4 linked regions of the Callithrix jacchus genome follow. The protein of the gene in region 2 interacts with the protein of the main gene of each other region in a pairwise test. Links are inferred from orthologs where the notes say so. Each region holds a gene or a part of one and is shown on either strand. Other genes may lie near its edges.

Region 1 (6,122 bases), on a different chromosome or scaffold from region 2:
TTCTTTTCTCAACATGATCTACATAGTAAACTCGTCCATGCTGGTCCACTCTCTGCTCCCAACTTAAACACAAAATTAAAAGGCTCATAGGACACTTGCATGAGTTACTTGGCTTTTAAATCCTGTCTCTGCCTTTTTCCCTTAAATGACCTGAACTAAGGCAAATAAGGTTGTCAGTTTAGAAAGATGATACAAATACAATTTAGGAATAAAGGGAAGAAATGTAAACATCAGAGGGTGGCACACAATGAATTCAATTTCTTCTATGCAAGTATCTGCTCTAGGAGAAAACATGTTTCTAAAGAGGCTTAAGGTCGGTCTACATAGTAAACCAAAATCACTCTCAATCAGAGTACAGTCAGGATTTGACTGGAAAGGAACGGCCAGGCGCAATGGCTCATGCTTGTAATCCCAGCACTTTGGGAGACCAAGGCAGGCACATCACTTGTCAGGAGTTCAAGACAAGCCTGGCAAACATGGTGAAACCCCATCTCTATCAAAGATACAAAAATTAGCTGGATATGGTGGCAAGCACCTGTAGTCCCAGCTACTTAGGAGGCTGAGGCAGGAGAATCACTGTAACCTGGGAGGCAGAGGTTGCAGTGAGCCAAGATTGCACCATTGCACTCTAGCCTGGACAATAGGGCAAGAATCCATCTCAAAAAAAAAAGAAAAATTAGCCAGGTATAGGTGGCAGGTGCCTGTAATCCCAGCAAATCTGGATGGTGAGGCAGGAGAATCACTTGAACCTGAGAGGTGGAGGTTGGAGTGAGCCAAGATCCCACCATTGTGCTCCAGATTGGGCGACAGAGCAAGACTCCATTTCAAACAAACAAACAAAAAAAGCAAAATAAAAAACAAAAAACTACACTTGAATATCTTAAAAATAATCTTAAAATAATCAGTAGAGATTAAAATGGGATTGATTATGAGCAGAAATTTTCTCAGTTTTCTGAATTATCTATCATTTTGCGATAATGATTTACTCTGTTACAAAGGCTAAAGTGCAATTGCGTGATCTCAGCTCACTGCAACCTCCACCTCCCAGGTTCAAGTAATTCTCCTGAGTAGCTGGGACTACAGGTGCCCACCACCATGCCCAGCTAATTAGAGTACTTTGAGTAAAGATGGGGTTTCACCATGTTGGCCAGGCTGGTCTCAAACTCCTGACCTCAGGTGATCCACCTGCCTCAGCCTCCCGAAGTGCTGAGATTACAGGCATAAGCCACCATGCCCAGCCTATAATGATTTTATGATGAAAACAAAATTTGATTTTAAAAAGGGATTTTCCCCTTCAAAGAAAAAGCAACTAGAATTAGGTGATTATTTTATTAATTGGCCTTGGTTAACATTCAGGGTCCTTTGGTGAAAAAATATATTTTTCCACTTTGCCCCGAAAACAAAAGACAGGGTTTCAAATATGGTGTATTTTCCTTGTTCATTTTGACTCCAGATTCCCCCAAATCAGTTATAACATAAAAACAGTTGGTTGGGTGCAGTGGGTCATGCCTGTAATCTCAGCAATTTTGGAGGTTACGGTAGGAGGATCACTTGAGGTCAGGAGTTTGAGACCAGCCTGGTCAACATGGTAAAACCCCATCTCAACTAAAAATACAAACATTAGCCAGGCATGATAGCCCACGCCTATAATCCCAGCTATTAGAGAGGCTGAGGCAGGGGAACTGCTTGAACCCAGGGGTCGGGGGTTGCGGTGAGCCAAGGTCTCACTGCTGCACTCCAGCCTGGGAAACAGAGCAAGACTCCATCTCAGTTACTGAAACAATGGAGTTTACTATTATTTTCCTTGTTAGTAAGTATATGAAGTAGCCAAAAGCCTAAAGACAATGTATGTTTAAAGTTACTCACCCGGGTGGCAAGGGAGCTTGAGTTACAGGATTTAATGGCCTAGGGCCTGAGCCTCCAGATATAGTAAGGGGAATTATTAATCCAGATGTTGCTCCTTCAGATGTATTTGTATTTGTATTTGTATTTGTCATTGGCAGAGAACCTGTACTAGACCCATCACTTTCAGAAGTGGTAGATGGTGAACCATTGACAGATGCTATAAAAGATTTGAAGAAAATAGGAAAAGAACCTTTTATTTTCTAAAATTCAGGATAGAATTTTAACTGTAAAAAATAAAAAGGCAGATGATAAATATAAAACTTAAGATTTGGATACACAGGTGAAAATTACTTAAAGAAATAATAAGAAATAATCAATACTCCCTCTTAATAGGCTTGTTTACTTCTTCGGCCCTGTCTACCCCTACATCCCATTATTAATTACAAGGCATGTGAATATTATCTGAGGAGATAAAAATGTATAGAAAAGCATTAATATTCCTTGGTATTTTAAGTTCATTTATTAATTTTCCAGCTCCTTAAAACTGCTTTCCTATGAATCCCTGCAGATTACAGACCAATTTTTGATGTTGGTTATAATGTGGAAGGTCTGACTGATAAACAATAATCTTCTTACAAATAGTTACTAGTCATGTATTACATCTTTAAGAAATACTTGTGAAAACAATGTCTATAGGAAGTCACCAATATTATAACTAAGACATCTTAAAGATTCAGAACATACTGTTAACCAAATTACCTATAAAAGGGGAAGAGGAGGCTGGGCTCAGTGGCTTATGCCTGTAATTCCAGTACTTTGGGGCTAGGCATGGTGGCTCATGCCTCTAATCCCAGCACTTTGGGAGCCCAAGGTGGGCAGATCACCTAAGGTCAGAAGTTTGAGACCAGCCTGACCAACATGGAGAAACCCCGTTTCTACTAAAAATACAAAATCAGCCAGGTGTGGCAATGGGTGCCTGTAATCCCAGCTACTCGGGAACCTGAGGCAGGAGAATTGCTTGAACCTAGGAGACGGAGGTTGCGTAAGCTGACACTGTGCCACTGCATTCCAGCCTGGGTGACAGAGTGAAACTGACTCAAAAATCAATCAAACAAACAAAAAAGGCTTGTTTGTTGTGTCATTTTTTATTTAAAATCTGAATCATTTAGCACTGTTGGGTTATTTGTCATTTACTAACTTTTTAAAGAATATACTCGGATTAAGCAACCAAATCCTTGACTACTTACTTAATATGTTTATGTTACAGTTACAAACCATGTAAGAAATGCTATTGCAATGTTATCTGTATTGCCTATATTTTATATTATGCACATGTCATTTTCATTCTCAATAGAGCACTGCCTCAGTAATGTCACTCTGACCCGAAACTTAGGAAAAAGGCACTTTTGGTTACTACAGAAAGATCATTCTTTGCCAAAATCTTAAATGCAAAAACACACACAGAAAACTCACCGAAAAGAATTTCCTGAAACTTACCTGAGGATTAACTGCCAACCAGAACATTATTTATTAGAGTACTGACAGCTGGAATACAAACCTGGTCTACGTGGGGTAGGTGGTGGTGGTCGTGAAGGTCTTGGAGGTCTAGAAGGTTTAAAACCGCCATTTGAGAGTGATGGAGAACTATTCCCATTGGCTCTCCTATTTTCACCAGATCCTCCATCTTCAGGGTCATCTGATCCATTTGTGCTCACTCTGGGTAAGAAGACGGGAAAAGGAAGGGGGAGAGAAAAATAATAAATACCCTTTGAATTTAAGAAAAAAACAGCAAGAGAATGAAAACTTCTAAGATTTTAGGAGCTTAAAAAAAGCTTTTTAAATTTTGGTCAGCCTTATTAAATACATAAAGAGCCTCTGGGTAGAATCCTACACAACCCCCAAAGTTCATCTAGAGATAGAGTGAAGGGTTGTCCAAGGGCATAGAAACACTTGCAGCCGTTCAGAACTATTAGATATGCTGGTTCGTATTTCAAATAAGCCTTCAGGAAGCCCTACATAAACAGGAATAAAGTCAAGTTCTCAAAATCCTTAAAAAGGGCACTACTTTATCACAAGCGCAGATAACTTTACCATTGTTGTTTTTTGGTTTCTATTGGCTATTTATTAATACTCAAGTTTGAGGCAGGGCTGATTTTCCCATGCTAGAACAAAGTGCATGTATTTCCCAGGGACTAGGCCCTGACATCCCCACTCAGTACAATGGTACACAAAATGTTCAAAGCTAGTGATATAGAGTAGAAGTAACCACAGACCATTTTTTTAAGGAGCTGTCATTTATTCAAAGCAATAACATCAACTGAAGGGACAGAAAGGAAGGAAGAACACTAACAGGAAATATCGGACTGAAAGCTACTGCTACTGTTGGCTAAATATAGTTGATTCTTTTTCCTCCCAGAGGGGTTCTAGTCATGGATTAGAAACAAGGACATAAGTAGCCAGTCTGCAGATGTCTCAGCCAAGGTTCTTGTATGTACTACCTCCAAACCACTACACAGTACTAATCCATACTACTAGGAATTTCAGAATAAGCCTGAACAAAATAAAACCTAATAGATTCAACTAACAGAGGCTGAGTGCTGTAGCTCACACTTGCAAGTGCAGCACTTTGGGAGAATGAGGTGGGAAGATCACTTAAGCAAAGGAGTGAGAGAAAAATAATAAATGCCCTTTGAATTTAAGAAAAAAAACAGCACGAGGATGAAAACTTCTAAGATTTTAGGAGCTTAAAAAAAGCTTTTTAATTTTTGGTCAGCCTTATTAAATACATAAAGAGCCTTTGGATAGAATCCTATGTAACCCCTGAAGTTCATCGAGAGATTGATTGAAGGGTTGTCCAAGGGCAATGATTTATTTTTAATAAAAACTGTATAGATGATATTTTGATATACATAGTGAAAAAACTTACTACAGTCAAACTAATTAACATCTCTCTCTCCTCACATAGTCATCTTTTTTTTAGACAGAGTCTCACTCCATTGCCCAGGATGGAGTGCAGTGGTATGATCTCAGCTCACTGCAACCTCTGCCTCCCAGGTTCTAGCAGTTCTCATGCCTCAGCCTCCTGAGTAGGTAGGACTACAAGCACCCATCAACGTGGCCAGCTAATTCTTTTGTAGATTTTGTAGAGATGGGTTTTCACCATGTTGCCCAGGCTGGTCTTGAACTCCTGACCTCAAGAAATCCACCCTTCTCAGCCTCCCAAAGTGCTGCGATTATAGGCATAAGCCACTGTGCCCATCCTCGTAGTTTAAGACATTTTCGAACTATGTACCACAGAAATCCTTTAGGGCCCTTCTATTCCAAGTGTGGTCTTTAAACCAAAAGGACAAGCACTATCGAGGAGCTTGTCAGAAATGCACACTCTTCAGAAGTATTCTGGACCTACTATATCAGAGCTAGCATTTTAATAAGATCCCCAGATTATATATATGGACAGTAAGGTATGACAAGCACTGCTTTGAGGGTTCCCTAAATGCTTGTCTTTAATAGATGGAACACCTCAGTAATTGACAGTCAGTACCTGATTAGTGTTGACTACCTGCAGAATATGGTCTGAAAAGAGTCAGTTTTGACACTGCTTCCCTTCCTTTAAGTAAGGTTTCCAAACCACTTTAAGACTGCATATTGCCTCTCCATGCTATTTTAAGAGGTTCCTAATTAGTTTGAAAGAAGAGTTCTTGCTGCTTTTTAAGTAACAGATGACAACTAGAATAAACCAAAAATGGGAAAATAAGGTTTCTAGCTCTGACTCTGCTACTGTTGAGTTATGTGACCAATGAATGTCCCCTAAAATGTATTATCTTGACTACAAGATTCCTAAAAGTCGTTAAGCTAGAAAAATTCATACTAAATTGCACATCTAGTGCTAGACAAGTTTTAGGGAAATGTGAGGGAGGGGGAACATTCAGAGCATGAGATAAACCTACCATGATAAAGGTACAGCAGATTCCCAAAATGCTATGATTAGTTGTTGGGAATTAAAATTTGAGTGATTTTAACATCCATGCTGTGCATCATTCCAACATTTTGATCTCAATTTTTCAATGTAGTTATCTGACAACCTATGTAGTAAAACTCCTTAAATTTCCTTGATACTTAATTTGTTCCTCTTCCTAGATCTTGAACTCCAAAATCCCTCTAACTACAACTTCGTATTCATTCTACCAGCCTCCTACAATACCTTTTATTCAGTCTCATCATAACCTTCAACTCTTCCCACAATCTTTACAGTCCATCAGCTTGCTTCACGCCTCACT
Region 2 (6,842 bases):
CATTAAATGTCTCAACACAGCTAGGCATAGTGGTTCACACCTGTAATCCCAACACTTTGGGTGGCCAAGGCAGGTGGATTGCTTGAGGCCAGGAGTGTGAGAGCAGCCTAGGTAACATGGTGAAACCTCGTCTCTACCAAAACTACAAAAGATTAGCTAGGTGTGGTGGCATGTGCCTGTGGTCCAGCTACTCAGGAGGCTGAGGTGGGGGGATCAATCGCTTGAGCCCTGGAGGCAGAAGTTGCAGTGAGCCAAGATTGCACCACTGCATTCCAGTCTGGGTGACAGAGTGCGACCTCATCTCAAATAAATGTCTCACCAGGCACAGTGGCTTATGCCTATAATCCCAGCAATTTGCAAGGCCGAGTCAGGTGGATGACCTGAGGTCAGGAGTTCAAGACGGGCCTGGCTGACATGGTGAAACCCCATCTCAACTAAAAATACAAAAATTAGCCAGGCATGGTGTGTGTGTTGGCCGGGGGGTGGGGGTGGGGGTGTTCTGGTGTCTGTAATCCCAGCTACTCAGGAGGCTAATGCTGGAGAATCGCTTGAACCTCGGAAGTGGAGACTGCACTCCAGTGTGGACAACAAGAGCGAAACTCCGTCTCAAAATAAATAAATAAATGTCCCAACACATTGGAGAGGAGGCAGAAAACAAACACTCCTTAAACCAGTCAAACTGCAGACAGGTATGGGTCCTGGCAAAGAGTGGGGCAGATCTGTAATTTCCTTGTGCATACCAGGAGACCCAGAATTCCGCTTAGAATCTCATGCTATTTAACTGGGAGCCTCACACACCACTGCTCATACTAGCAAGGCATCACTAAAACCATCATGGGACACCTGACTTCACAAAAACAAACAGTATCCAACTGACCCTTGGGTCATCCTACATGGCCAGGCTCTGCGATCTTCCCAACACCCATGCAGAGAACCCGGTTTTGCACATACCCCAAGGCTCTTTTGGATGACTCTGCCAGAGTGAGCAGCCTCCAACCACTGTCCAAAGTGAAACCTGTCCTAAGCTGCCCATGCTCTCCTCAGTAAGAACAGGGGAGGCACGGGACTCCCACACAGCTGCCAGCTGCTTCCTTGCCAAAACACCTGGAGCTGCTCCTCCGCCTCTCAGCAGCTACTTCAGCTCGGGCTGGGTGAATTCCCCAGGAAGCCCATTGTCACCGGCCAAACCAATGGCAGCAGCCATGTTTCTCTCTTTTAAATGGTCAAATCAGGCAGGACCATAAGATGCAGTTCTGCCCACAGAGAAGTGAGAGCAGTGCATGGGGTCCATTGTGAGGGGTCTCCTTGCTGCTGGAGAGGCATGTGTCCCCACTCCCTCTTCTTTCCAGCTTGCAGACTGCTTGTGATGGTAGCACAGGCTGAAGGGAACCTAGCCTTTCGAAACAGGAAAGCCTCCGGGCAGGGCTTGGCTGCAGGACTGAGTGGCTCAGCGGCAGTCACCTAGTCAGTGTGACTTCTTCCGCCTTCTGGACTTGAAGGTTGTACCTCTTTGCAGGGGCCCTGGAGCCCCATCCCTCCTCCCTCATACAGGTTCAAAAAATGTTTCCAGCTGGGCGCGGCGGCTCAAGCCTGTAATCCCAGCACTTTGGGAGGCCAAGGCAGGCAGATCGAGAGGTCAGGAGTTCAAGACCAGCCTGACCAACATGGTGAAACCCCATCTCTACTAAAAATACAAAAATTAGCTACACATGGTGGCGTGCACCTGTAATCCCAGCTACTCAAGAGGCTGAGGCAGGAGAATCGCTTGAACCCAGGAGGCAGAGGTGGCAGTACGCTGAGATGGTGCCACTACAGTCCAGCCTGGGTGACCAAGTGAGACTGTCTCAAACAAAAAGTTTCCTGGCTGGGTGTGGTGAGTCACACCTAGCACTTTGGGGGGACTGAGGAGGGTAGATTTGCCTGAGCTCAGGAGTTTGAGACCAGCCTGGGCAACACGGTGAAACCCCATCTCTACTAAAATACAAAAAATTAGCCAGGTATAGCAGGCATATGTGTAGTCCCAACTACTCAGGAGGCTGAGACAGAATTGCTAAAACCTGGGAGGTGGAGGTTGCAGTGAGCCAAGATCACGCCACTGCACTCCAGGCTGGGCGACAAAGTGAGACTCCGTCTCTTAAAAAAAAAAAAAAGGTTTCCTGTGTTCAGATGCACAACCAACGACAAGCTGTTGGAGGCTGCAGGCTGCTTTGATTCTAAGGAAGATCAAGATTGGGCCGTGTTCTCAAGTAACCACTGGAACTTTCTTCTCGAGCTGAGGCCCCTAGCTGTTCAGCAGCCCTTCCCTTGTACCACCTGCACTTGGACCATGAAGAGCCACCCACTCCTCATCCTCATCCTCATCTCACAGGCCTCACCCCTGCCACGGAAGCTGTGACCTGTGAGCCATTCCCCTCTCCTGTTTCCAAATCTGTATCATGAGAGTAATAACCGTACCACTTTCCAGGGTGCTGAGGGTGAGTGAGGCTGGCCCGTGGGACCCAGAGAATTGCATCGGGCCCACACATGAGCACTCCAAGAGCCACTGTCAGCCCTGGTCACCCATCCCAGTAACAGCAGAACATGGGGTGGTCCTGTCTGACCCCCAACCCTGGAATGGGCCAGCCTGGGATACAGAAAACTGCTCCTTCCCAGGCCTCCCTCTGCATCAGCCCTGAAGGCAGCCTGTGTCCATGTCTGGGTGCTGATTGTCACCAACACTCATCAGACAGAATCAGTGAGCAAGCCCTGGGGCCAGGCAAGCCTGCTGTCCTCCTGGGGGTGGAGGGCCTCCCTACTGGCTCCTAGCAGGACAGAAAAAAACATCCTTTGAATGAGGAAAAGAAACCAGGGTCATTCTGTTCCCATCCCCGGCAGGGCCGGGGAAAATTCCCGAGGGGCCTGGGCACAGCCCTCCACCACACTTCCAGCAGCCTGAATCATCAGCTCTCTGGCCCATCAGGGCCCTTCTACTCCCTCGCTGATGACCCTCCTTTTTCTCCCTCACTCAGACCATCCTCTGTGAGGTGGGACCATCAGCCAGGGCTCCCTCAGCTTCTGGGCCATCTGCCCAAAGTGCTGGCATTACAGGCGTGCACCACGTCCATGCATCCACCCATGCAGCCCAGGGGAGCCTGCCCACTCAGGCCAGTCACGCACCACAAGGCCATCCTTTCCCTGTGGTCAGCAATAGCCTTCTCGCCCCAGGGGAGGGACGGCAGGGCAGGGTGCTCCCCTCAGCTAGGATCCAACCCACCTCACCTCACACCTCACCTGTACCCAAGGGATACGTGTGCTATCTCTGCCCTGCCACAGCCACACCTGCACCCCCCAGACCCCAAACGCAAGGTGCGAACAGAGAAACGGAGGCCATGGGGTCAACCCAGGAAGCCCAACAGGCCCAGGAGCCTGACAGAAGCGCCTACCACCTGGCTTCTTCCCGGGATCCACAGCCTCAGGCGGGGCAGGGGCGAGGGCAGGGCCACAGCACCACCACCTGTCGCAGGCGGCTGAGGACGGAACGAAGGCTGTGGGTCCTCGGCAGGCACAGCGGTGCTGTCACCCACGCGGAGGCCCAGCGGTCAAGGTCCAGCGGGAAGCGCAGGGGCAGCGGCTTAGACCAAGCAGCCCAGGTGGGTCCCACAGGAGGCCGAGGTACAGAAGCCCCCGGCAAGGACGCGGCGCTCACAGCCAGGGACCAGGCAGAGGCCTGCGCGGAGGCCCCGTGCTGGGAAAGCAGCCTCACCTCGCGGGCCTGCCTCACCTCCAGGGCGCGCTGCCAGCGGCCACTGCAGCAACCCGATCCCCAGTCCGGGAGTCCGCCTCGGCAGGGGGCCGGCCCCGAGGCCTGCGAGAGGGGGACCGGGGCGCGGGGAGCCGCAGCAGGTGTCTGTGCCCTGCCGGGACCGCACGCCCGGGCCAGGAACCGCTCTGCAACGGGCGCGCGGGCTAAGGGAGCCCGGGTGCGGGAAGGTGCCCAGCAGGTGCGAGCGCGGACCGGGAGGGTCCCAGGCCTGCGTGCGCCCCGCTCAGGGCGGCTTCACAGCGGACCCGCTTCAGGCCCTGGCCTCAGGCCCCGCCGGAACCCCGCTGCCCCTCGGCGAGAAGGCAGGAAGAGCAGACGCGGAAGGGCGGCGCCGCCCACACCTCCCCGGCGCCGCCAAGCCCGCGCCCCAGCAGTCCCGGGCGGCGGCGACAGCGACTCCGCGGACCCAACCCCCGGCCCCGCGACGGCAGCCGCTTCCGGGAGCCCCGGCCCCGCGCAGGTGCGGCCAACGGCCCTCCCCGAGGACCCGCGCCCACCTCGGAACGGCAGCGGCGCCCCCAGGCGTACGCGCACGGTCCCGGCCAGAGGCTCCCCGGGGCTGTAGACGACGCGGCCGTGGCTCAGGCTGATCTCGAACAGCTGCACTCGCCCCATGCCGCGGCCTCGCCGGCCCGCCGCGCAGTGACGCCCCCGCCGGCGGCCAGCGGACAGGGCTCGGAGGCCCGGCCCCGCCCCCCTTATGCCCCGCCCCATCCAGGCCCTCCCGGCCCCGCCCAACCCGGCCCGGCCCCGCCCCGCTATGTCCCGCTCCATCCAGGCCCTCCCGGTCCCGCCCAACCTGGTCCGGTCCCGCCCCCCTATGTCCCGCTCCATCCAGGCCCTCCCGGTCCCGCCCAACCTGGTCCGGCCCCGCCCCCTATTCCCCGCCCCATCCAGTCCCTACCGGCCCCGCCCAACCTGGCGCGTCCCCGCCCACCCCCGGCCGCCCCCTCGCACGCGGGCTGCGGCTCGGAGGTCCGGCCCCGCCCCTATTCCCCGCCCCATTCCTCCGCGTGGCCCTGCCCCCGCCATGCCCCACCCCACCCCGGCAGCCCTCATCCATCCCAGGCCCAGGCCCGGGCCCGCGCCCCCCTGGGTAGTGGCCACGCTGCGTCGGGCGCCACTTAAGGGACTTGCGGCGCAAGCGACCCCTGCGTGCCCCACTGAGGGAGTCATCGCCGCGCCTCTGTCAGGGGGCGGGGCGGGGGACGGGGAAGGGGCGGGGAGGGGGCGGGCCGAGGCGAGCTCTGGGACTGAGGAGGGCTCCCCGCAGAAAACCCACGGTCTCCGCCCCCACCCTCTGCCCGCCCCTTCATGCATTCTTCATCAACCCAGGTCGCGGAAAAACGTCTCGGGGCCGCGCCGGCGTCCTGGGCCGGAGGGCTCCGCCGCCTACCACCTGCCCGGCCTCGACCCCCACCCCCGGCTCCTGCCCTGCACCCCCCGCCTTCCCCGCACCTACCCCGCGTCCCAGCACCTGCCCCGTCCCCGGCACCGCCCTCCGACACCTGTTCGGCGCCTCTCCCCCACCCGGGCTTCCCCCCACCGCGGTCTTCCCCGTACCTGCCCCGCCCCCCCGTTGGCCTGATGGGTTGCAGGGCCCAAAGGAGCCACACTTGGACGGGGCGGGGGTCCGCAGCAGAGGGGTCAGGGGCCAGGTGGGGCGGGGACTTGGATTACTTGAGACCCGGAGGAACACACTCCGATTTATCTTTTTTAAAGGTCCCTTTGTAAAGACTGAGCCGCCGGGGGTGGGACTCAAATACCCTGGGGACCTAAGTGGGGAGAGTCCCATTGGATAGTCCCAGAGAGAGAAGGCGGCCTTTGCCTGGGACCAGTTCACCATGGAGTGGGTGAGGCGGGCCCCACTGCTGCGAGTTTTTCTAGGACAGCAGGCGAAGAGGGTGGCCTTCTCTGATGGGGAGGACGGGCCTAGACACACGCGGTTTGCAGGTGGGAGAGTCATCACATGCAGAGTCTGAGGTGCCACTGATCCCCAAGTGGACCAGCTACTTCCGTGAATGAGCCTAGGAGCCAAGCACTAAAACGTTGCCATCTCTGGTTGGTAGAAGGTAACAGGTCAAGGAGGAGGAGTTTGGCACCCCAGCAAAAGGAGAGTGGCTCACAGGCTGTAGGAGCTCCCCCCCACCTGCCCGGGCCTGGATGGAAGAGACTCTGAAGCCCCAGTCCCAGCTGGCTCCCTTGGGATTCTGATGTTTCAGGAGGTGAGTCTGACTGGCCATGATCCAGACACTTTCCTGACAAGACTATACACAGGCAGAATTCCCGAACAAGAGAGAAGAGTGCAGTTGAATGGCAAGGATTATGGACAACCCCCCCGGAATGGCAGTCAGCCATGCCAGAAGTCAGAAAGAAAGTGTTGGCCGGGTGCTGTGGCTCACGACTGTAATCCCAGCACTTTGGGAGGCCGAGGTGGGCTGATCATAAGGTCAGGAGTTCAAGCTCAGTCTGGCCAACATTGTGAAACCCAATCTCTACTAAAAATACAAAAAATTAAGCAGGTGTAGTGGCGTGTGCCTGTAATCCCAGCTACTCGAGAGGCTGAGGCAGGAGAGTTTCATGAAGCCAGCAGGCAGCGTTTCAGTGAGCCAAGACCACACCATTGCACTTTAGCCTGCACCACAGTGCAAGCCTCTGTCTCAAAAAACTAAAAATAAAAAAGCCAGGAGTGGTGGCTCACACCTATAATCCCAGCACTTTGGGAGGCCAAAGTGGGCGGATCACCTGAGGTCGGGAGTTGGAGACTGGCCTGGCCAACATGAAGAAACCCAGTCTCTACTAAAAATACAAAATGAGCTGGGCATGGTGATGCATGCCTGTAATCCCAGCTACTTGGGAGGCTGAGGCAGGAGAACTGTTTGTACCCAGGAGGTGGAGGCTGCGGTGAGCTGAGATCGTGCCATTGTACTCCAGCCCAGGTGACAGTGCAAGACTCTGTCTCAAAAATAAATAAATAAATAAATAAATAAAATTTTTTTAAACATGTTTCAAGCAGGGAGAGAGGGATTGTGTTGCAAGC
Region 3 (6,122 bases), on a different chromosome or scaffold from region 2:
TATGTGAAGTAAAATACTGAAAAACACCAAGAACTTCTATAGCTCTTTCTCTTTTTCTAAATGTCACATATATATGCACAACACACATATGTAAATGTGAGGTGTTTGTGTATGCATGTATATAATTTTAGAGTTAACACATTTGAGGAAATCAGTTCTAGCACATAGGTAGCTATTAAAAAGGATGCTTTTAAAATAAAAAGGTCAGGGAAAAAAAAAACAGAAAAAAGAAAATAAATAGGAAGTTTTTCACTAGTAAGACAGCCAAATCCTAGCACTAATTATTTTCTGTTTATATCGAGACAAATAAGTACAAATATCATGTGCTCACTTGGGAAGGGAATAGCTAGTCATTTAATAGGCTCATCTTACAACAAGCATTGCCATGACAGACCTGAGGACTCTGACTCAAGGGAGGCAAGGGATTATCTCACTATGCAATGACCATATGTCAACAAGCCATGTGCTGGTGTAGGTTTACGGTCTGAGGACTTAAGGCTGGAGAACAGGTTCTTTACCTGTTTATGGTTTTTTGGAGAATATGAAGATTTCCTAACTAGAACAGAAGAACTCAATTAAGATGGAAACAAAACATTCTAAAGAGACATATATAAAGCAGCTGTAAGAGCAGGGAAGTATGATAGAAAGGAAATAAGGAAGAAAATCTGTATGACACAAAGTCTGTAAAAGGGGATTCCAAAAGGAGATGGATCTGGAAAGGTCTTCCTAGAGAAGCAACATACACCACTTCATACACAGATTATAGCAGATGAAAAAAAAGCCAAGCTATTCACACTCCTCCCATTTCCAACTCTTTTTGTTTCCTAGAGGAAGCTGGCCTTATGCTTTTCTAAGGCTGCCTCCAAAACTTTTCTTCAATTACTAAACCCTCTTTGTCCCATATCCTCAACTCCAACTTTTCTTCCCATTTGTCCACATAGGTATTCAGACTATTCTTTTCCCAAAACCCTTTAACCCAGTGTCTTTTTAAAATTACTCTCTCCTCTCTTTACCACCACACTCATTATAAGAGTACAACATACTCAGTGTTTTCACTTTCTCACCTCTATTCAACCAAATTTTAAACCAAGGTAATTTTAAACCTGGCTATCACTGTAGGCTCCATTATAGCCACTAATTCTCACCATCAACGAATCCCCTTAAAACATCAATTCTGCTCTTCCTGTTTTCCCTGTCCCAAAAACATCTCCCTCTAGAAGGCAAACTTTCATGTATCTTCTTTTTTTTTTTTAACATAGGGTCTCACTCTTGCCTGGTTTCACTGCATCCTTGACCTCTGTGGGCTCAGGTGATCCTCTCACCTCAGCCTCCCTAGTGGCTGGACTATAAGTGCACGCCACCATGCCCAGCTAATTTATTTTTATTTTTTGTAGAGATGAGGTTTTGCCATGTTTCTTAGGCTGGTCTTGAACTCCTGGGCTCAAGTGATCTACCCACTTCAGCCTCCCAAAGTCCTGGGATTACAGGCAGGAGCCAACAGCCTCCCATGCATCTTTTAAGACCTAACTTAATACACAGTGTCCGATGAAGAACTTTCCTGATTCCTCCCAGCAGAAATAATAGTTCTCTTCCCACTTTGGATTCCAGTAGTACTTCATATCCATTTCTACCATTCATTTACTTATAGATTCACTGATGGCCTATCTTGTGCACTAAAAAAAAAAAAAAAAAAATCACAACTAGAGTGTTATCACATAATTTTCAAGAGCAAGATTAAAGAAACTGAAGTCTGTTATTGAGACTGAAACAAAATCTTCCAAAAACTACTGCATTCATGATTAGCTATCAATAGTATTAAAGTGATAAAATATCTTGAAACAGTGCTTAACAGAAAGTAAATATAAATCTTACATGGTAAAATTTTATTTAGAGCACTTTTGATATTTGAAAGCCCTGATAGCATTTTTTTAACTGCTCAGGTTGTGTTATTTATTTTTGTTCGACTTTGTGGAAGTCTCAGGTTTAACAAATATAGAAAGTCCAGTGCTTTATGTATCATCTTTGTGAATATATTTTCCTCAAAATATAGTGTTCCTGTTTTTTTCCAGTTAGCATAATAAATGCACATTGGAGAACAAAACAAAATAAAAATACCTAACAGAGTACAAAGGTATAAAAGAAGAAATCAGTTATTGGTAATTTCTCTCACTTTTTTCTGGTTTAGCAGAAAAAAGAAGAGGCTGAGAATGCCAAGCTAAGAAGGGTACATTAAACTTAGTAAGCAGATACACTAAGGATGTAAATTTGAAAGGTCATAGCAATTTACAAGTTAAGAAGGGAAAAAAGAATGGCTATGACATTTTATAAAGCCACATAGCATTCTGATCCAGTAACTTCACTTCTTAAAAATCTAGCCCACAAAACTAACTAGCAGGATGTATGGATTCATGCTTAAGGAAGTTTTCTGCTGTCTTGTTTGCAGTGGCCCAAACTGGACACAACCTAAATGATCTCTATTGGCAGGAATAGCTGAAAAGTATAGAATACATACACCACAATTTACCTAGCTGTTAGAAAATAAGTTAGATTTAACTGTACTGTCCTTAAGACGAAAAAAAGTAAGCTACAGAGTAATGTGTATAATCCAATCCATTTTTCAAAACAAATATAAAAAACAAAGAATCTGAAAGAGACAGATGACAGCTAGAATCTAAGAGGGTGAAAATGGTAGTCTATTTATAGAAGAAATCAGTAAGAGGCAACAGCTAGGAGAAATGAAAAGTTGGATTTTAGACACATTACATTTAAGAGTCATCTGTAGTTCAGGTGTTGGCACATTATGGCCTGTGGGCCTAATCATCTTTTTTTTTTTGTCTAGCATGTGAGCTAAGAATAGCCTTTGCATTTTTAAAAAAATATTAAAAGTATTTTAGGATATGAAAATTATATAAAATGAAATTTCAGTGTCTATAAATGTTTTACTGGAAGACAATCACACATCTGTTTATACACTACCTATGGCTACTTTTGCACTATACCACAGAGCTGAGTAGTTGAAATAAGTCTAAAAAGTTTACTGCCTGGTTCTTTCCTGAAAATCTTTGGATTTACCTGGCTGGCAAATGGAAATTATTTCTAAAGTTTAGATATAACTTTAACAGAAAATTGATGCTATGTTAGCAAATTATTTAGAGAAGCAGATTGCAATAACATCTTGGAAAAAGGTCTATATTTAAGAAATAGGAGATTTAGAAAACTGCCATTAAAAAAGAGCAAGTGACCAGAAGTGGTGGCTCATGCCTGTAATCCCAACACTTTGGGAGGCTGAAGGAGGAGGATGACTTGAGGCCAAGAGTTTGAGACCAGTCTAGGCAATACAATGAGACCCTGTCTTTACCAAAAAAAAATTATTTGAAATTAGCTGGACATGGTAGTATAAGCCTATACTTAGGAGACTAAGGCAGGAGGATTGCTTGAGCCCAGGATGTCAAGCCTGCAGTAAGCTATGATCACGCCACCATTCCACCCTGAGTGACAGAGTGAAACCCTCTCTAAAAACAAAATTAAAAAAAAAAAAAACAAGAAAGTAAAGAAAATCAGTATGACATAGGATCCACGGAATTCAAGAAAACAGAGAGTTTCAAGAAAGAGGCTGTAGTGAACACTATTTAAAAGCCTAAGTTAAAAAAGGGGAAATGATATGGAAAAGGAAATGGTAGAATGGTCACAGCAAATGGCAGTGGGAAAATGAGGGTCAACATAGATTCTCTTTTTTTTAAGAACATTGGTACTGGTGAGAAGAACTTCCCAAAAGTGTGAAAAGGGAATGCAATTAAGGCTACAGACAGAGGATTTAGTTCTGACATGTTCTAGAAATTAAGCTTAATATGGTATATCACCTTACCCAATATATTCATCTTTGTTCTCCTCAGTCACCAGAATATTGGAACCTCCTAACTTCAGGTCATGTGAAGTAACTTTTCCCAAAATCTCCATGTCAACAGAAAAGTACATTTCTAAGCCACATTCTTCAATGTTGTTATCTCTGAGTGAAATATATATACAATAATTAACAAAATGAAACAAAATGGGTTTCAAAAAAAATGGCTTATTGCAAAACAAAAATCTTCAAACCTTATCCAGATAAGGGAGTTATAAAATTCAGTATCAATAGATTCCAAATCCTTAATAGTAAGTTTTTTACTTAACATACGCTTGTAGAATGGTAAAGAGAAACCAGTATCGATAAACTTTCCATGAAATAATGCCTGCAAAGAAAAATAAAGCATTTTATAATAAAATTTGCAAAATAACAATTTCTTAGAAAACAATGATAACAGAAAAATCATGACACTTTACAAGTAAATGAAGATTTGAATAAGTGAATGACATAAAATATGAAAATTAAAATATATAAAATGCTAGGTATGAAAAAGCTAAAACAAAATCTATTTTATAACACATAGCTATATAATATATATCAAAAATTGTATAGGGTGATAAAGGACTTCTATTACTACACACATAGCTATAATATATATATCAAAAACTGTATAGGGTGATAAAGGACTTCTATTAATTACCATACCCTGCCTCAATCTTCCCAAATGCTTTATAAATTAAATTAACCTAATTGGATAAGGAGTGCAGAAGGGCCCTGTGCACCTGAAAAGGCCACTCTCCTGTTCCTTTCTTATTCTCACCATTGCCTGTGAGGTTTTTAGGACTAACCCCATTGTGCCTTCACTCCTATTCACAATAACCAGCATGGGAAGCCCCAGACTCCTAGCAACTTTGGAAAACTAAAACATCCACTGAAGCTATTAACACTATACCTTAGCCCCCTCATGAAGTTATATCTCCCCTTACTCAGTTTAGATTCCACAGTCAATCATTAAAAATAATTCCCTTCAAACCCTACCTCCACCAGTGTATTTCTAGCAAAATCCCAAGCCTAGCTAAGTTCAACTCTCAAGTTACTAAATGCCTGTATCTAGGCAATGGAACATGCTAGAAATGCATAAACAATCAAGATGACTGCTCCATGAACAACAGTCATATTTCCTTACTGGTCTATTTCCTGGTAATCACATTTCCCTACTGCATTCAGTCTCCTACTTTCCTAGATGACTATGTCATTCCTACTCCTCTTTCCTCAAATATTTACTTCTCCCCACTCATTCTGAGTTGATGACCTTACTTTCTATTTCACTGAGGGAAACAGAAACAACCAGAAGAGAACTTTTGTATATTCTACTATATCTGCTCACTACTAGCATCTGAATCCATATAATCTTATTATGGGTAATCTTTCTATTACTTGGTACGTGTGCTAAATAAATTTCTTCCTCTCTCCAACTCAAGCTCATTGCTCTCATATTCCTTATATTCTGACTTTATTAAATTCTTTATCCTCTAACTTGGTAGTATAGTTTAGATGTTTGTCTCCTCCAAATGTGATCCCCTAGCTGGCTACCCATATACAGAAGAATGAAACTAGAGTGCTACCTCTTATCATACACAAAAATTAACTCAAGATGGATTAAATACTTAAATGTAAGAACTAAAACTATTAAAATCCTAGAATAAAACCTAGGAAATGTCCTCTTGATATTATCCTCGGCAAAAAAATTTCTGGCTAAGTCCTGAAAAGCAACTGCGACAAAAACAAAAATTGATAAGTAGGACGTAATTAAACTAAAGAGCTTCTGCACAGCAAGAGAGGGAGTAAACAAACAACTTACAGAATGGGAGAAAATATTAAACAACCGTGGATCCAACAAAGGTCTAATATCCAGAATTCATAAGGAATGAATTTATATAGTGATTATAAACAATCATATAGACTTTTAATACTCTCTGTGTGCCAAGAATTCCCAAATGCCTATCTCTAAACTAGATATCCATTAATTGCCAGACTTATACCTCCATCTATTTCTTTAACATCTCCATTTGGATATCTACTTCAGACTTAAAGAGCCAAACCTAAATATTCCTGATTTCCTCCATATCCAAAATTTGCAACCAGACAAGCTGGCCATAAATACTGTTGCCATACTTGACTCTCCCTCACACCCTGCATCTAATCTGTCAGAAAACTCTGTTAGTTCTAAACTTGCAATATATCCAGAATTCAAACCACTTCTCACTTCCTCCACTGC
Region 4 (6,122 bases), on a different chromosome or scaffold from region 2:
TGGCATGTATGTGTAATCCCAGCTACTTGGGAGGCTGAGGCAGGAGGATCACTTGAACCTGGGAGGTGGAGGTTGCAGTGAGCCAAGATCATGCCACTGCACTCCAGCATGGGCAACAGAGTAAGACTCCATCAAAAAAAAAAAGGGAAAGAAAAAACAACTATCACTGGGTGCCGTGCTCTACAGGGAAATTTTATTTTATTTTGTTTTATTTGTGTATCTGTGCTTTTCCATAGTTTACAGTCTCTATAATAACTTTTGCTAGTCAAAAGCAAAAGTATACTGGCTGGGCAAATGAAGAAGAAAAAAGGACGCTCATGCTGGTTGCTGCATCCTAATGTGAGGCTATCCTCAAGTATATTTCCCAAGTATCGCAATAAATAGAATTTTCCCTTATGATCAAATTACAAAAGGCTGGCTAGTGTTCAGGAAAATAAACACCAACTCAGAAGACAAAGCAATCAGGGAGTTCTCTGCAGGATTAAAAGGAGGCGCATCTCTGGTCTTCAACAATTCCTCAGGCCAAAGTGGGTTCAGCACATCTCTATGTACCCAGCAGAAAGGAAAAGACTAGAGGAGGCTCAAAGACCTTTCAAGTGGCCCATCGCTTAAAAGGACAGGCTTGGAAAGAAAAGAAAGACTCTTAAATCAATGCAACACGCTCACTGGGACTCAACGCTCCCCACCCCCGCCACTCTCTTAAGCTACATCCACTTTCAGAAAATACTTTGTAGACATCGAGAGAAAAAGGAGCCTTTCTTTCCATGCCATTCATTCGCCACATATGGTACCGCTCTGAATAGAGTCTTTATGAAGGAGGGTCCAAAACCACAGCCATGGGCCATGCCACTGACCACAAACAGCAATAAATAGATGAGGATTTATACGTCCATGATGTACAGGCATGCTGGCTAATTCAGACGGCGTTTCCATCACATTCCAACGTCCAGTAAATGTTTACTGAATGCCGAGTAAGCACAGGGCACTACTTGTAACACTGTCCCAAACAGACACACACGTGCACACACACACACACACATGCACATACACACACATGCACACAGCTCCTTTGTTCTGTTTTAGGGTTCAGGCTAGAAAAGCAATGATTTAGGTTAGAGGCATTTGACAGTTTCATTCAACATATTACACATCTCCCGCATTGGGAAGAGGAGCAGAAAGTTTCCAGTCCCTAAGGAAGGATCAAGGGTAACACACCACTGCATCCCACTAATAGAGGACCTGGGCAAAGAGAGCTAAACTCTGCAAGGAGGTAGAGAGGAGTCCTCAGCCTTCCTAAAACTCCAAAGACGGCATCCAAGGAGAACAGAGGTACCACAGCCCCTAGTCCTGGGGAAATCTCCAGCATCAGGTTCATCTGCCAGGTCCTCCCATCCCCACCAATGAATCACGTCGGCATCCCATTCATCATACATACTTTTGCCCCCATTGTTCTTCAAGACATTGGAGAGGTTGACAGACGCGGTGCCTAGCAGTTCATTTCTCAAGGTATGGCAGCTCCAGACCTTTAAATCCAAATGACTCTGGGCCGTGACATTCCTGGGAAACAGATACCTGATTCACTACATCCAAGCAATCATTCCTATAACTTAGAAGAAAACAGTTAAACTAAACTGCTGACATCTTGGGGAGGGGGAATCAAAACAGACAGATACCCACATATATCCCTGCCCCCCTCAAAGCTGACCCTGTAACCCTCTAGCTAATAATGAACGCTCTATGAGCTCAATGGTGTAGGAACACCTAAAGAGAGGCATCTTGGGTACCACAGGCAGAAAAAGTCAGAGGTACCGCAGGGAATCTGTACCTCCCACAACCCCCTCGGAGCACCCTCTCTCTTTCCCCCATCTTACTGCCCGCAAAAAGAAGCTTTTGCTTACAAAATGATGATCTCATTCCAGAGCAGCTCAGAGCTCCCAATGCGCTTCCCAGTCTTCTTGGTCTCGCTAGGGAGTCCATCCACTGCCACCTCCACGTAGGAGTTAATTCGAGGTTGACGATTATGCACCTTGGGCTTTGCAGACACCACTGGGTGAGAAAGAACGAAAAAGTCGAAGATGAGTCCCAGGGCTCCCAGATGCCCCCCTGTGGCAGATGTTCCAGCTCTTTTTCATTGTTTCTTTAAAAAAATAAATCAGTAACTTTTGTTTTGTCTTGATTTTAAAAACTTTTTAAAGAAAGGTGAGTACACACACACAAAACAATATGAAATATAAGAAAAAAAATCATCCCTAACCTGAAACCACTGGGATAACCGCCGGTGACCATCATTACCAATTTATCATTGGGAAATTGCCTTCTAGATTTTCATCTTTTATTTCTTCAATTGTTTAAAAGTTCTTCACCCCCATAAGTCAATCTTAAACGACTATAATACAAGCCCATATTCTTTCACTTTTGAATAGACTTCTTGCAATTATTCACTCTGGGGAAATTATTGTGAAAGTATACATCCGCATGCCTTTCTTGAGTATTCCTCCAAAGGACATGAACATTTTTAATTTTTTTTTTTTTTTTTTGAGACGGAGTTTCGATCTTGTTACCCAGGGTAGAGTGCAATGGCGCGATCTCTGCCTCCTGGGCTCAAGCAATTCTCCTGCCTCAGCCTCCCGAGTAGCTGAGACTACAGGCGTGCACCACCATGCCCAGCTAATTTTTGTATTTTTAGTAGAGACAGAGTTTCTCCTTGTTGATCAGGATGGTCTCGATCTCTTGACCTCATGATCCACCCGCCTCAGCCTCCCAAAGTGCTGGGATTATAGGCGTGAGCCACCGCGCCCAGCCGACATGAACATTTTTTAAAGTTCTTAAAACTGCCCATTCCTTTCCAAGAAAGGTAAACCCATGGAGCCCCCACCATCAGGGCTACACCAGAGTATATTCAATTTACCAGAGGGCTACACTTTTTCACTTTTACAAATCACATGAGTTAAAAACACATAGTGTAGGCCAGGGGCGGTGGCTCATGCCTGTAATCCTAGCACTTTGGGAGGCCAAGGCTGGCAGATTGCCTGAGCAATGGTGAAACCTCATGTCTACTAAAATACAAAAAATTAGATGGGCATGGGCACCTGTAGTTCCAGCTACTCGGGAGACTGAGACAGGAGAATCACTTGAATCTGGCAGGCTAAGGTTGCAGTGAGCCGAGCTCATGGCACTGCACTCCAGCTTAGGCGACAGAGTGAGACTCCGTCTTCAAAAAAAAAAAAAGCAAACAAACAAAACAAAACACATAGTGAGATAATAGCTAAGGCTGGGCATGGTAACTCATGCCTGGAATCCCAGCATTTTGGGAGGCCAAGGCAGGAGGACTCCTTCAACCCAGGAGTTCAAGAGTTTTAAGAACAGCCTGGGAACATAGCAAGACCCCGTATCTAATAAATAAATAAATATTATATATATGTAAGACAGAGTTTCGCTCTCATTGCCAAGGCTGGAGTATAATGGCGCGATCTTGGCTCACTGCAGCCTCCCGCTCCTGGGTTCAAGTGATTCTCCTGCCTCAGCCTTCGGGCCGGGATTACAGGTGCATGCCACCACACCCGGCTAATTTTTATATTTTTAGTAGAGACGGGGTTTTACCATGTTGGCCAGGCTGGTCTCAAACTCCTGACCTCAGGTGATCCACCTGCCTCAGCCTCTCAAAGTGCTGAGATTACAGGCGTGAGCTACCATGCATGGCCAATTTATAAATTTTAATTGCAATAAAAATAATATTTAAGATTTTATGAGTACTTACTAAAGACACTCTGCCATGTGCATACATTTTCTAACTGAATTCTCACAACAAACCCATGAGGCAGGGAATACATTATCACCCCATCTTACCCAGAAGAAAACAGGCTTGAGAGGCGAGGTCATTGCCCCAGGCTATATAGCCAGGGAGCCACAAGCCAGACTGTGCACCTAGCCAGCCTGATTCCACACCATGCTGCATATCATTATTGAACTTTACTTATTTGTTCTATTGTTGCTCTGTGGAATATTAGATTTAATTTATCTAATGTGAAATATTAAGAAGATTATCTTTATTTCCATTAAAAGTTACAAATTGGCTGGGCATGGTGGCTCACGCCTGTAATCCCAGCACTTTGGAGGGCCGAGGTGGGCCGCTGAGGTTGAATATTTTTTCCATGTGTCGTTAGCCATCTATGTTTCTACTTCTGCTCATAGCCCTCATGTGGCAACAATTCTGATACTCATTTGGGACCAGCAAACCAAAGACTGACTCACGGAGCACAGAGCTTAGCAAGCATCATGATGAGGAGCTAGATAGGCATCCTAGTGTACATCACCCAAGGTGGAAACACCAGGTCGCCAGGGTGAAACACATCTAGACATCTCCCATCCTGCCCCAAATCAGAGATACAACTGATGCTCCCTTGCCCATGATGGCAAGACTATGCTAGCCTGAGCTTCCCTGTTTGAGTATAAGCAAATCTCTCCCTTCCAGACTCTTCGCAAAGGTGACAGTCCTACAGTGGTGTCTACAACTCAGCAAAGGCCAAATTCACCTTCAGATTTTTTATAGCAGTAACTGTCTTCTCCAGGCCCCAAAGGAACAGAAGGGAGGAAGTCAAGAGATTTTTAAAAATCAGCTGTGGCTAAGATTCAGAAGCGACAAGGGGACAGTACTAGGAATAAAATTTTGTGATACTGAGGCATGGCCCAGGGTAGAAAAATGAGGCGCAGTGATTAACGCACGGACCAAGGTTAACTGAGGCCACCTGGTGGTAAGAGCATGGATCTACATGCCTTTAAAAAATGGAGACTACAAATGGTGCACGACTTAGGGCGTTTGACTTTACAATGGTGGGAAAGGATATGCATTCAGTAAAAAACCGCACTTTAAATTTTGGATTTTGGTCTTTTTGCCGAATAGTCACATGCAGTACTCTGGGTAGAGGCAGTGAGCCCAAGCCCCAGTCAGCCACGTGATCATGGGGCAAACAACTGATACTCGGCCATATCCTGCTTTTCCAGATCATCTCACCTAGCTGCAGGTTATGGAAGTGTCCTCGGCTAATTCAGGTATCCTTAGCACATTTAGGGTAGGCTAGGCTGGGCTATGACACTCGGCAGGTTAGGAGTGTCAGATGCATTCTCAACTTGCAATATTTTCAACTTAGGATGGATTTTTCAAGATGTAACCCCACTGTAAGTTAAGGAGTCTCTGTGCTCATACACATGCACATTTTTTCCTGAAACTCTGAGAGTAAGCTGTAGACGTTGTGCCCCTTTACTCCTAAACACTTCTGGGTATATTTCCCAACAAACACATTTTCTAACATAACCAATAGCACAATGATCAAAATCAGGACATTTAATGTTTTATAATACTAAGATCTAATCTACAGACTTTATTCACGCTTTGCCAATTGTCCTATCAATGCCCATCATAGCAAAAAAAAAAAAAAAGCAAGAGAGCAAAGGAGCAAGAAAGAAGGAAAGAAACAAAGATTTGTTCTGGTGTGGGTCCCCAACTAGGATCGTGTATGTGGCATTTAGTATTCTTTTTTTTTATTTACTTTTTTTTTTTAAAGATGGGGTTCCACCATACTAGTCAGGCTGGTCTCGAACTCCTGACCTCAGATGATCCACCCACCTCAGCCTCCCAACGTGCTGGGATTAGAGGCGTGAGCCACCGCGCCCAGCTAGTATTCTTATTTTGAAGCCGAGTAATCCCAGCTCTTTGGGAGGCTGAGAATCACTTGAGGCCAGGAGTTTGAGACCCACCCAGGCAACATAACAAAACCCTGTCTCTACTAAAAATACAAAAATTAGCTGGGCATGGTGGGGCAACACAGTAGTCCCAGCTACACAGGAGGCTGAGGCACAAGAATTGCTTGAACCCGAGAGGTGGAGGTTGCAGTGAGCTGAGATTGCACCACTGCACTCCAGCCTGGGCAATGGAGCAAGAGTCTGTCTCAAAAAAAAAAAAAAGTTGACATAAAACAATAAATACTGTATACTCTTCACCAATTGTTATCATTTTGCCGCATCTGCTTTCTGTTGGTATGTGTGTGTGTGTATGTGTGTGTGTGTCTACAGCATCACTACCCAAGAGAACTTCTGTGATGAAGAAATATTCCACACCTGTGCTG

The links.
Region 1: the proteins of ARRDC1 (region 2) and ITCH interact in binary tests that used the Homo sapiens proteins (3 or more experiments, as listed by UniProt). The link is inferred for Callithrix jacchus from reciprocal best matches to the Homo sapiens genes ARRDC1 and ITCH.
Region 3: the proteins of ARRDC1 (region 2) and WWP1 interact in binary tests that used the Homo sapiens proteins (3 or more experiments, as listed by UniProt). The link is inferred for Callithrix jacchus from reciprocal best matches to the Homo sapiens genes ARRDC1 and WWP1.
Region 4: the proteins of ARRDC1 (region 2) and WWP2 interact in binary tests that used the Homo sapiens proteins (3 or more experiments, as listed by UniProt). The link is inferred for Callithrix jacchus from reciprocal best matches to the Homo sapiens genes ARRDC1 and WWP2.

The regions. Positions count from the first base shown.
Region 1 is NC_133506.1:4,854,038-4,860,159, forward strand, and holds part of ITCH (E3 ubiquitin-protein ligase Itchy homolog), read right to left. Parts: intron 3,562-6,122; coding exon 3,404-3,561; intron 2,063-3,403; coding exon 1,867-2,062; intron 63-1,866; coding exon 1-62. UniProt on the Homo sapiens protein: Acts as an Acts as an E3 ubiquitin-protein ligase which accepts ubiquitin from an E2 ubiquitin-conjugating enzyme in the form of a thioester and then directly transfers the ubiquitin to targeted substrates.
Region 2 is NC_133502.1:185,956,167-185,963,008, reverse strand, and holds the start of ARRDC1 (arrestin domain-containing protein 1), read right to left. Parts: upstream 4,447-6,842; 5' UTR 4,418-4,446; coding exon 4,300-4,417; intron 1-4,299. UniProt on the Homo sapiens protein: Functions as an adapter recruiting ubiquitin-protein ligases to their specific substrates. Through an ubiquitination-dependent mechanism plays for instance a role in the incorporation of SLC11A2 into extracellular vesicles.
Region 3 is NC_133517.1:40,635,521-40,641,642, forward strand, and holds part of WWP1 (NEDD4-like E3 ubiquitin-protein ligase WWP1), read right to left. Parts: intron 4,230-6,122; coding exon 4,096-4,229; intron 4,007-4,095; coding exon 3,866-4,006; intron 1,674-3,865; exon of another isoform or gene 1-1,673. UniProt on the Homo sapiens protein: E3 ubiquitin-protein ligase which accepts ubiquitin from an E2 ubiquitin-conjugating enzyme in the form of a thioester and then directly transfers the ubiquitin to targeted substrates.
Region 4 is NC_133521.1:27,374,503-27,380,624, reverse strand, and holds part of WWP2 (NEDD4-like E3 ubiquitin-protein ligase WWP2), read right to left. Parts: intron 2,047-6,122; coding exon 1,899-2,046; intron 1,558-1,898; coding exon 1,436-1,557; intron 1-1,435. UniProt on the Homo sapiens protein: E3 ubiquitin-protein ligase which accepts ubiquitin from an E2 ubiquitin-conjugating enzyme in the form of a thioester and then directly transfers the ubiquitin to targeted substrates.